Linked DNA regions of Rattus norvegicus. The protein of the gene in region 1 purifies or fractionates together with the protein of each later gene. This does not show direct contact. Links are inferred from orthologs where the notes say so. Each region holds a gene or a part of one and is shown in the gene's direction. Other genes may lie near its edges.

Region 1 (4,389 bases):
CAGCCAGGTGTGGTGGCTCACACCTTTAGTCCTAGTACTTGAGAGAGGCAGAGGCAGGTGGATCTCTGTGAGGTGGAGGACAGCTTGATCTATAGATCGAGTTCCAGAACAGTCAGAGCTACACAGAAAAACCCTTTCTCAAAACAAAACAAAACAAAATAAAAAACCAAAAACCAAACAAACAAAAAAGAAAAACAAGTTTATAATTTTTAAGCTGTATGCCATTCCAAGTGGCGAAATGAAGCTACATGCTGCCTTGGTCCAGCCCAACCAGGATACAAAGCATCCCCTTGTCGTATCCTACCTGTCCATTAGTCACTTGGCGGACATCTTGGTTATCAGATGAACTGTTGTGGTATTACAGTGTTAAGTTCAGCTAACCCTTGCATTAATTAATTAATAACGGCTCCAATGTATAAACTTGCACAATATTTGTAATAACTGTCCACTTTTGTTGTTCGTTCTTTTATTTACCTCATTGTGTCTAATTGACCATTTAATTTATTTATAAATTAAGCTGTTTTATAGGGATGCATGTATGGGAGAGTAAACAGTATATAAACTGTTGTTCTAAAATCAGTGCTATTAAGTCTTAGAACATGACCCTGAGGATAAGGTATAGAAAGGAATTGATGCCGTAAACATTCTGGGAGGTGAGGACAAGATTTGAACCAGACACTGAATGACTATTTCCTTGGTGAAAGATGCAAGTCTACAGGTCTAAGAATGGGAGTGACTCTCAAACAGAAGTCCTAAGGAATCCATAAGACACATAATTAGACCTCTCAAACCAACCTAAAAATCTTCAAAGCAGTTGAGAGAAAGCAGGCAAGTCCTTACCAAAGGACAACTTGAAACTGGTAGGCTTCTCTTCTGAAGTGATGGGTAGGACGACCGGCACCCCTCAGGTTTCTAGAAGAACCAAGACCCCCAGGCCCTACACAGGTCAAACTGTTGTTATGGAATTAAAGGCGAAGAGGACACTCTGAGTAAAGGAAAACATGGGAACTTGCCGCTGTCATCCTGGGAGCACAAAAGTCCTTGGGGCCACAGAGCTCCAGAGAACCAGGAATGTTGAACACACAGGGGCCACTCCACAATGGAGGAGGTAAACATACCTTTTTTTTCCCACCCAGAGGGCTGGGAGTAAATATTGTTAATGATCTGGTGACCCTTTGCCTGTCTGTGGAGGCAGAGCTCACCTACCTTTTGCTATAGAGGCAGACCTCACCCAAATCCCCTACAATGTTTATCCCAGACTCTTGCTCCCTAGCTCTCAGTTAATAAGAAACATCCTTAGGGGGGATGACACATGTACTTTATAACCTGTTGACCTCTAAGCTAACTCAGTCAGAGAGCACACTAGATTCCAGGCCCTTTAGCTATAGAACCCACTGTCTTGGTCACGTGTACTTTGCAAATGAGTTTCTAAGTAGTCACACCTCAAGCTTTATTGAGCACCTGGAATTGGAATGATTGTTGCCTGGAAACCTGGAATGGGAATGACTGTTGCCTGGACATTTTTTTCCAGATTGCACTGTGTTTTTAAATATGCTGACAATGAACTGCCTGGCATTGGACTCCCTGAAGTCTGATCCAGGTTGACAAAGTCAATGTGAACCAAGCTTTCATTCTCATCTCTTCGTGGGTTGGCTTTGCTGCCTGGACACCTGCAGGATCCCCCTCATTGGCAGACCTTCCTTAAAAGAATGGCTAAGGGAAGCTCTCCAGAACTGAAGAAAATGGTAGCTGACCCTTCTAAGAGGAAAACACAATGAGGTGGGTAAACTGACTTAAATGTAACAGACTCTTCCCCACATGAGTTCTCTTACTCATGTTTTATGGTTAAGGTAGGATGGTGTGGCTCGTTGGTAGACCATTTATCTAGTACCCGAAAAGCCTCTAATTCCTCCTCTAGCACCCCACAGGACAAAGGATATAGAGGACAAAACGGCGGCAGTAGGTTGTGATAAGCTGTTTATGGGTATGATACAGCACAAGAAAACTACAATGGGGTACAACTGCAACTTTAGGGAAACACAAGGAAGGCCAAGCGGCCAATAGGGAGTCCTGGGAAAGCAAAACAAAACAAAACAGACAAAAAATAGGCTGACACACAGAGCAAACAAGAAAAATGCAAAACCCAAACGTTTAAATGACTGACTTAGTCGTAGCACTTCAATGGTTGTGCTAGATGAAGTAGTCTGGGGGCTGGCAGAGGCCTCAGTGGTTAAGAGTGTGCACTGCTCTTACAGAGGACCCAGATTCAGTTCCCAGCCTCCTTGTCAGGCAGTTCCAGGGGGATCCAGTGTCTCTGATCTCTGGGCATCTGCATTCACATGCACGCGGCCAATCACACACACACACACACACACACACACACACACACACACACACACACACACACTTAGAAAAATGAAATAAATCTTGAAAAGAGAAAGAATGATGGGTTAAAAAAAACACAGTTCAGGGGCTGGAGAGATGGCTCAGCGGTTAAGAGCACCCAACTGCTCTTCCAGAGGTCCTGAGTTCAATTCCCAGCAACCACATGGTGGCTCACAACCATCTGTAAAGAGATCCGATTCCCTCTTCTGGTGTGCCTGGAGACAGTGACAATGTACTCATCATATATAAAATGAATAAAAAACAAACAAACAAACAAAAAAAACCACAGTTCAACTATATGTTACCTATAAGACACAAATAAAACTGTTAAGAGTTTGAATATGGGGCTAGAGAGATGGCTCAGCGGTTAAGAGCACTGACAGCTCTTCCAGAGGTCCTGAGTTCAAATCCCAGCAACCACATGGTGGCTCACAACCATCTGTAATGAGATCTGATGCCCTCTTCTGATGTGTCTGAAGACAGTGATGGTGTACCTACATACATAAAATAAATAAAATCTTTTAAAAAAGAGTTTGAATATATGTCCCCCCACAGGCTTCTACAATGGGGGTTTGGTGGCTAATAGGCTTCTGGGAAATAATTTGATCCTAAGGACTCTGGTCAAAGCAATTGGTTTTTCTTTCATGGATTCTCGATGTGAAGTCTCGATGTGTTTGGAGGTGGAGCCCAGTTAGAGGACATAGGTCAGTAGGTTGTGCCCGAGGAAGATGTATCTTGTTCCCTTACTCTGCTTTCTCTCTTCTTAGCCACCATTAGGTGGATGAGTTCCTCTTCCACATGCTCATGGTCTCTGCTTCATGCCAGGCCCAAAGTGATGGGTCCAGTAGCCATGTACTGAAGCCTTTGAAACCATGAGCCACCATAAGTTACTTCATGTGACTTCGCCACAGCAACAAAAACTGTCAGAGTAAGGAAAGGGAACAGATGGGGAAAGATAAAGGAGGCCCAGGCTGAAATGGAGTACTTCGCCAAATATAAGATTTGTTCCTTCAAATAGAAGAGGGGCCACTTCACTGGTTTTATGGGCCAGTTGTACTCTCATCTAAAGATAGCACAAGAAAGAAAACCATGAATCCCTATCTCTCCTAACTTATGTAAATAAACGCATGAAAACATTGGCAGATCAAATCTAAGAATGTACAAAGAGGATGACATTCTTCCACTGACAGGGATCCATCCCAGTTATACAAGGTGTTTCAGTATCTGAAGATCAACAGGAAAAGTCCTATGACTGTATCAACTTAAGCAGAAAAGCTGAAGATATGTATTTGTGATAAAACACTTATGAGAGAAACTCTGTGTCTGTGGGCAGGGGAGGTAGTAGCTTAGTTGAGTAAGTGTATACACGATTAGTGCATTAGTCAGGGCTCTGTAGAGGAACTGATTGAATGAATGGATGGAATGAATGAATGAGTGAGTGAGTGAAAGAATGCATTAAAGATTTATTTAATTATGTGTATGAGTGTTTGGCTTGTCTCTGTACCATGTGCGTGCCTCGTACCCAAGGAGGTCAGAAGAGGGCATCAGATCCTCTGATCCTGGAGTTACAGACAGTTGTGAGTCCATGTGGATACTGAGAATCCTCTGCAGGAACAATTACTCTTAACTGCCAAGCTCTCTCCAGCCCTCCTGAATCTCAGTCTTCTTTGGAATCCTGAAGTAGGTTCTACTACTAGAGAAGAAGCAGCAGGTTAGATGAACTTGCCAGCGGGAATGAGGGCAAGCAGGCAAAAACAAAACCCCAAAATTTCATTCTTCCATGCCCTTTATATAAGCTGCCACCAAAGTGTGGCCCAGATTTAGGGTGTGTCTTCTGACCTCAAATGATCCAGATTTTAGAGTAAGTCTTTCCACTTCAAATGATCCAATCAACAAAATCCCCTGGGTGCCCAACCTTGGATTTTAGTTATTTCCAGATGAAGCCAAGCTGGCAGCTGAGATTAGTTATCATGCCTAGCATGTGTAAGGTTCTGAGTTTGATAC
Region 2 (4,224 bases), on another chromosome or scaffold:
TGAGTAGAGGAAGAGAATTCCTGCCCTTGCCCTGTCACACCTCCAGGCTCACACCTCCAGGCTCCCTACTCATTTGGTACCAGTGTCTATGGATTCTGTGCCATCTGAGTAACTGCTCTTGGTGGCTTCCACTTCCCTGAGGCTTTGAGGGAAGCACCTAACCTCTGCTTTGCAAGGAAAGCTCCATGCAATCTGGAAAGAGACTGGGTACTGGCAGCGCATCGAAGGATCCAAGTCCTCATCCTACTTTGCTACTTTCCTGACTGTAGGGGCAAAACTGCTTCCTGTCCTGTTCAAGTTGCTGCAGCAGGGGTCATGCGAAGTCAGGCCTGTAGCTCCTAATAGGGGCCTATTTCTACTTTTATTTTGTATTTCTGGTCTGTGAAAACAATTTAATAAAGGGAACTGACTTTGGAAACGATGTCCTTTGTCTCCTTTCCCACTTTGCATGCTGTGGTGTTTACCTTCCCTGACTGGGCAGAGCCCTCCTGCCCAGCTGGGAAGCAAAGTCTCCAGGTACATCATGTCCTCCCCAGCTGACAAGCATTGGTTTTCATCCTTGTTTTTGAAACTGTGCCACTTGAGAGTCAAGAAATGAGTGCTGATCTGATTAGGAAGCCTCTCAGAGTTCCTTCCACTCCACTCCATTAGCCAACAGAGGGGGCAGGGGCAGCGGCGGCTCTTAATCACCGTATGAGTCAAGGGTCTTACAAGGCTTGAGATAATAGAATGAGGATCGACTTTCTACTGTAGAGTGGAAACCTGAGTCAGGTGGATTGGGGAAAATGAGTTAAGTTTGTGGTGTTAAGTGTGGGAAGATTCCGGCAAGGGAGGGCTACAAAACTTTGGTAACTGCGTGTAAAAGATCTTAAAGGAGACGTAACAGGAGGAAAAAAGCTACCTCACTTCTCACAATGGTTCTTAATCTGAATTTATCCACCTGGGTTGGCCACGTCGTTTGTAGCTTTTAGAAGACTCAGGTGTAACAGGAAGACTGTTCGGTCCGCCAACGGTTCCTTTCGTGCTGCCCGCGCTCTATGGTGCTGTAATCAGTGTAGGCTTGGGGAAAGCTGTCCGGGGCGGTTTCCTCTCTAGGCAGTCATCTCGGTGGCGCTGGGGTAAAATTGCGTCAGTTTCGCCTAAATCTGAATCAGGGCCGGCCCCTCATTTACAAGGTCATGAATAATTATGTAGGATCTGTGCTTGTTTGCATACGGTGCGCCGGACTCGGCTTCAGCATCCTTTTCCTACTCCTGGTTCCCTACATGAATATTCATGAAAGCGTGGGGCGTGCCTCTGGGCGGGGCGAGGGGAGGGGCCCCGGGGCTTGCACTGGCTCGGTCCCGTGGTGACGGTGGCGGCGGTGGCAGCAGCGGTCACTAGCGTCGGGGTGTCTCGCTGAGTGAAGCCGGTCCCGGGGGAGCGCGTGAGTGCGCGGCAGCCGGAGGGGGCGGGGTCTGGGGATGGGGGCGGGGAAGGGCATGGAAAGAACCCTAGCAGCCAGGACCTCAGATTGGGGCGGCAGCGGTGGGAGGGGGTCAACAGGAAAGTTTGCGAGGGCCTGGGGCGCTGGGGACGCTCGGGCGCTGCGGAGCTGGCGCGTGTGTGCGGGGGTGGAAGGCGTCTGTGCAGTGAGCCAGAAGAAAGCGGGGAGAGGCGAGGGTGGGGCGGGGCCGAGGGCGGGCGGAGCTGCTCGAGGGACCCCCCTCCTTGCCCTCACCGGTCCCCTTCCATGGCTCCCACGGCACGCCCCCATCCACCCCAGGCCGCCCCCACCGAGTCCCTGTCGCCAGTCCTCAGTCTGTTCCTTCGCGGGCTGCTTGGCATCTCGCGCAGTCTTCGGCTGCTGCCGCCCCCTCCTTCTCCACCCTCGTCTGCTCCTCCTCTTCGGCTAGCCGCTCGGTGTCCGTAAGCTCCCCAAGGAGGTCCTCCAAACAGCCCCTTGCCCTGGGCTGTTCCGTCTTCCTGTTTGCCCCCCTCTTCCAACGCTTATCCCTCCTGACCATACTAGCCGAACATCCAGCGGGAGACCCTTAGGGACCACCCTGCTTGCCCTCAGGCCCTTCTGAGTGCCCATCCAGGGCTGGGGCTACTTAGCTCCTTTCCATTCTTTGGGGGCAGCCTCGACTCCCAGGGCTGCTTGGCTTGCCTAGTCCACTAAGGGTGGGGAGTTCCTGAGGTAGTGCGATTCTGCAGCTTATGGCCATGGCGTTGGTTACCTGGGGCTCCTGGCTGGGGCCTGTCCACCGTAGCCACCTCCCCTCTTGGAGGCTCAGAGCCTGTTTTCATCTCTCCAGCTCCTAATAGCCTCAGAGTCCATCAAGCCCCCAGGTGAGAGGGTTTTTCCTGTTCTGGACTGGGTTTTCTCCATTTCCAACCACCCACACAGTATCCCTTGCAATAATGTTCAAGGACAAGGAAGCAATCTTGTATATATTTTTAATTTAATTTTATTTTTTCTGTCATCTCTCCTCCCTCATGCGTTATTCACCCACATACAAGGGAAACAGCCTGTGGTAGTTGGCTAATCAGCCAATTGACACTGACAGAGTCTGTACCCTCTTTAAATAAGCTGGGAACAGGGTCAAGGGGATGGGGACACCGTTTGCCAAGGCTGGGCACCACAGGTCGCTTTTAGAATTGAGAACTGTCTTCTCAGACCAGCTGGAGTGGGAGGGGAACTTTGAAGTTGCTGGAAGGGTTGGAGAGGGTTGGGTTGCCCTCCAGGGCTATGTGCATTCCAAGTGTGTGGCGGCTTCTCCCTTGCTCTTGAACCAGAGGAGCAGTCCTCTCTGTTTACCACTCTGCAGAGCCTGAGTGGTCTTGTGAGTGGGAGGGTGCTTCAGCAGCCAAGGAGAGAACTGAGGGGGTGGAATGCCTGAAGAGTTTGAGGTGGGGGACATGAAGGAATGGTCTCGAAATGCAGCCTCTAGGGTAGGGGGAGAAGTAGGTAGAGGTGGTTACCAAGGATGTTAGCTCACGGGAGACACTGAATGGAGTCACATTAATAACGGCCAACTGTTACTTATGGCTTCCATGTTTGGTATTTTGCATGCATCGTTTGGCTTGAAACTCATCTAAAACCCGATTTTTTTACATAGTGAAACAGCCTTGGAGTAGTCGCACAGCTCTAAAGTGATAGACCCATTTAGCTGTTAAATCTTACAATATCAGATCCAGAGGCTCCTGGCACATGCTACTACCATGTGGCTATCATCTGGTTTAATTTCTTCTCACCCCTCAAAACTCCTTCAGGATGCACACACATTCCTATTCCACAGGCTTTGCAGGTCCCTCCCTGACTGTCCTGGAAGGGGGAACCCCGGGGAGTTTTCCCCTCAGTTATACACCCCACCCCCATGCAATCAAGCCCAGTCAGTCCTCCCTGCCCATCCTGGGCCGGCTCCTCCTTCCCCTTGGCTAGGCCCTGGAAATCCAGTGGGAGGCCATTGCTATGGTAACAGGACTAGGCCCTGGCTTTACCTCATCAAATTCCAAGCTGAAGCTAAAACGATTGAGAAATTAAAGGGAAAAAATGTATTCCAGATGTTTACTTTTTATTTCTTATTTCCCTGTGTTTGGATGAGACAGCTCATGAGTGCTGGAGGGGGGCAGGGTTGTGGAAGGAGAATGGGGGGGGGTAGGGAGCCACTCCCAGCCATAGAGGGAGGGAGGAGAATGGGAAGAGGGGGGGCCGGCTGTGGGGCGGAGTCCCAGGTTGGGGAGGAGCGGGTTTTTCCCGTCTCCCATGAGGTGATTCCAGAGACTTGAGAGTTTCTGGCCTTCTTGCTGTGCTCAGAGTGGACACCTCTAGTGGGGCTCCTGACCCAAGAGGGCTGCCTCAGACACTGTAAGTAGGGTATCACAGGAGGGAGCTTGGGGTGGTGTGGGTGGAGGTGGCTCCCTGATGTGCTAGATCATTCGGAGGTTCAGAGCCAAGAGTTGGAGAGTTGTGTCAAGAGTTGAGGATGTGGCTGTGGGGAACCTTCTCAGCCTCCTCCCGGAGTTCTCTCTCTTCCTGTCCCACACTGCCTGGGTTAGAAATAGACTTCCTTGGCTAAGCCTGTTGCCTCTCCTGGCTCTCTTCCTCCTCCACCTCTCCCTTTCCTGGGTCTTCACCCACCCCGGCTCACACTGCTTCCCATTTCTCAGGCAGGGTGTGCCGTATGTGATGAAAGGATCCACTCTCAGGGAAAGCACGGCCGTGGCTTCCCCACTGCCCCA
Region 3 (3,645 bases), on another chromosome or scaffold:
AGCTCCTATTACTGTTCGCTCTGTCTGTTGTGGTTAAAGCTGTGCACCCCTGTACCTGAGTCCTCAAACGCCTTGAACAAATCACTTAAGCTGCACATGGTTGCTTCACACCTTAATCCCATCACTGGGAGGACAGGGGTAAGCAAATCTCTTGAAATCAAGTCAGATTAGGGCTACATAGGGATAGTTTGCTCCACCACCCCCCCCCCACACACACACACACTCCCACCCTCCCAGAAGGAAGACAGACAGACAGACAGACAGTATTTTAGTTATTAAGAGATTACATGTTGTGGTTTTACTGTTTAGGTAGGGATGATTGATGTAACATTAGGTGAACCCCATGCCAGTCTTCCGACTGAGCTCTGAAAGTAAAGTGTCAGTCACTGTTGTTGGTTCTGCTTAAATTTGCTTGCAGTTATAGTTCTTCTGTTTTATATTAAGAGTCTTACTGATATACAAAACACAGTGTAGTATGTTTATGCTGAGGTTCAATCAAATGTAGCTTGACATAAATTTAGAAATTTTTAAAGGGTTTAAGGAATTTTATTTACAGATATCTGAGACTGCTTTTTTCCCCCAAAGATTTACTTACTTAATGTGTGTGAGTACACATTTGTTGTCTTCAGACACACCAGGGCATCAGATCCATTACAGATGATTGTGAGCCGCCATATGGAAGAGCAGTCAGTGCTCTTAACCGCTGGGCCATTTCTCCAGCTCACCCTGAGACTGCACTGGCCTTTTTCTTTTCTTTTCTTTTCTTTTCTTTTTGCAGGCTAGTTTAAAGGACTTTAACATACTAGTTTATCTTTATTGGTCTTCAGTATCCTCTTAAGTATTGCCCATGTCAGGGAAGGATTAATAGAAAACTAAAATTATTCTTACCCTTTCATAAAACAGAATTCTTGATTTCTATTAAGATGCCTTTGTATGTTTCCCTCTGTGCCCATGTAGTACATCGAATATGGACAACAGTCTCGAGATCCTCCTGTGAAAATGCAGGGCTCTATCACTACCCCTGGAAGTATTGCACTGGCTCAGGCCCAGGCCCAGGCCCAGGTTCCAGCAAAAGCCCCTCTTGCGGGTCAGGTTAACACAATGGTGACCACCTCAACAACCACCACTGTTGCTAAAACGGTTACAGTCACCAAGCCAACAGGAGTCAGCTTTAAGAAAGATGTGCCAGTAAGTAGCAGGTCCTTTTGCTTTCCCAGGATCTGTTGGTGTGAATAGGTAGTAGGGAATTTGTGTGTTATTTTACTGGAAGCATAAAGGTCAGCATTGTCCCAGAGAGCACTATGTAATGTAATAATTCAGGGATGGATTTAATGATCTTACCAGTGTAGTTATATACCCTGTTCATTTTTCATGCTAATGGAATCTCTGTAATCTTTTTTAAATGTTTTATTACCTTTCTATCTTGTTTATTTTGTGTGCATGTGTCCTATGATGCGTATCTGGAGGTCAGAGGTCTTAGGAGTTAGTCCTCTCCTTCTGGCATCTGGGTGCCAGGAATTGAACACAAGCTGGGCTTGGAGTCCAGTGCTCTCCTCTTCTGAGCACTTGCAGCACTTCTGTCTTCTAGGATTTCCCAGTCACACCTCAGCTGCTCTAACAGTGCATTATTACTTCCAGCCTTCCATAAACACAACGAATATCGATACACTGCTTGTGGCCACAGATCAAACTGAGAGGATTGTGGAGCCCCCAGAGAATATTCAAGAGAAAATTGCTTTTATTTTCAACAATCTCTCACAGTCAAATATGACACAAAAGGTAAGCATGATGTAATAGCTTATGAAATGCTCTCTTCTTTTCCTTGATGGATGGAGGGATTGGTTTTTGTTTTGTTTTGAATTCAGTTAAGTCAGTTGGTTTGTTCTGTCTATAGTCCAAGCTCCTGAGGAGGCTGAAGTAAGCATAAGGAGCTGGTGGCTTTTCTATCACGTAGCTATCACTGCAGAGCCTGTCTAGAAACTAAAGCCAATAAACTCAGGTTAAAAGGTATGATTTTAGCTGGGTGTGGTGGCACATGACTTTAAAAACATTTTTTAAGGTTTTTTTTTTTTTTTTGTAGGAATTAAACAGTATCCTTTGTTGTAGTATTGTTTTGCAGTGACTTGTAACCTTTTGAAATAATGTCATGCTCTCCTGAGAAGGGAAGTGTTATTTTTTTCCTTCCTTCCTTTCTTTGAAACAAGGTCTCATTAACTAGCCTTGGCCAACCTGGAACTCACTATGTTAACTTGGATGGCCTCTAGATTCTGTCTGCCTCCCAAGTGCTGGGATTTAAAGGTATGCACCACCATGCCTAACTTTGGTAGAAAGTTTTGTTTATGTTCTTCCAGAATCTACTATAATTGCTTATTAGGCCCTGTGAGCACATGAAGTAGAGGTTTAGAAAGCATAAGGAATGATGCTTCCCTGCTAAGGTACTGCTTTGACATGACAGTGGGTTTCAGGCTGAGCTTGCTGACACAGGGAAATAGAGGCAAGAGGATTTCTGTGAGTTTGAGGCTAGCCTGGTCTATATTGTGAGTTCCAAGCCACCTAGGGCTACATAGACAAACCCTGCCTCAAACAAAAAAAAGGTAAGTAGGTTTGATCTGTAACGTTAACCTGCTGGGCTTTGGTGTAAGTTTGTAATAGCAGCACTTGTGAGGCTGAGGGAAAGTTTTGAAGAGTTTGGGCGAGGTCAGCCTGTGCTATTGCATAGGAAACCTTGCCTTTAAAAGAAGAGCCCACACCCACTGTTAAATCTGACGGTTGTTTGTTGTTGAAGTGTCATGGGAAAGGCCAAGCCTAACAGTTTAATACCATGTTTTGTAAGAAGCCAGATGCTGTGTGCTATGAGAACCCAGACCTCATTTTATCTGTTGTTTACATTTTTTTTTAATACTAATTCTCTACTACTTTGTCGTGTTTATTGGCTAGGTTGAAGAGCTTAAAGAAACTGTGAAGGAAGAATTTATGCCTTGGGTTTCCCAGTATCTAGTTATGAAAAGAGTCAGTATTGAGCCAAACTTTCATAGCTTGTATTCAAACTTTCTTGATACATTGAAGAATCCTGAATTTAACAAGATGGTTCTGAATGAAACCTACAGAAACATTAAAGTAAGAGTTCTTATATTTCCTTTAGTAATTAGCTTTAAAGTTGATCTTGTAGGAAGATTTGATGTTTCTCTTTATGTCTATGTTCGATGTGTCCATGAAAAGTGCCTTAGATTTTTGTTTGCAATGTTAACTACTGGGTTCCATAAACATTTTAAAATTATATTTGTGTGAGTGTCTGCACACTCATACATGTGTGTGCGCTCAGAGGACAGTTTTTTAAAGTCACTTTTCAATCTTCATGTATAGCTTCAGAGTTTTACTGTTACATATAACAATGTTCAGTATTTTTGTGGCATGCCATCTTGTTGACTTGTCATGTCTGTGTGCGTGTATGCGTGGGTATGTCCAGGTGCAATAAGTTCTCGGGTCTCTATCCTGGTTTTTTTGTTTGTTTGTTTGTTTGTTTGTTGTTTTTTTTTTAAGGGTCTTACAGAAAACTCAGGTCTCTATCCTGGTTTTTAAGAAAATGGTCTTACAGAAAACTCATTCTGATGGTTGGATGTCAAGATACCTTGATTTCAGACGTAT

Evidence for each region.
Region 2: the proteins of Cnot6 (region 1) and Tnks1bp1 purify together in Homo sapiens (affinity purification with mass spectrometry; 3 studies listed by BioGRID and IntAct, with this or other methods). This does not show direct contact. The link is inferred for Rattus norvegicus from reciprocal best matches to the Homo sapiens genes CNOT6 and TNKS1BP1.
Region 3: the proteins of Cnot6 (region 1) and Cnot1 purify together in Homo sapiens (affinity purification with mass spectrometry; 5 studies listed by BioGRID and IntAct, with this or other methods). This does not show direct contact. The link is inferred for Rattus norvegicus from reciprocal best matches to the Homo sapiens genes CNOT6 and CNOT1.

Annotation. Positions count from the first base shown.
Region 1 is NC_086028.1:34,529,300-34,533,688, reverse strand, and holds the start of Cnot6 (CCR4-NOT transcription complex subunit 6), read left to right. Parts: upstream 1-1,562; 5' UTR 1,563-1,779; intron 1,780-1,960; exon of another isoform or gene 1,961-4,389. UniProt on the Homo sapiens protein: Poly(A) nuclease with 3'-5' RNase activity.
Region 2 is NC_086021.1:90,540,715-90,544,938, forward strand, and holds the start of Tnks1bp1 (182 kDa tankyrase-1-binding protein), read left to right. Parts: upstream 1-1,291; 5' UTR 1,292-1,426; intron 1,427-1,476; exon of another isoform or gene 1,477-2,331; intron 2,332-3,693; exon of another isoform or gene 3,694-3,850; intron 3,851-4,152; 5' UTR 4,153-4,171; coding exon 4,172-4,224. Other genes in the region: FACT complex subunit SSRP1, read left to right, coding at 1-7.
Region 3 is NC_086037.1:9,316,692-9,320,336, forward strand, and holds part of Cnot1 (CCR4-NOT transcription complex subunit 1), read left to right. Parts: intron 1-957; coding exon 958-1,188; intron 1,189-1,638; coding exon 1,639-1,779; intron 1,780-2,937; coding exon 2,938-3,117; intron 3,118-3,645.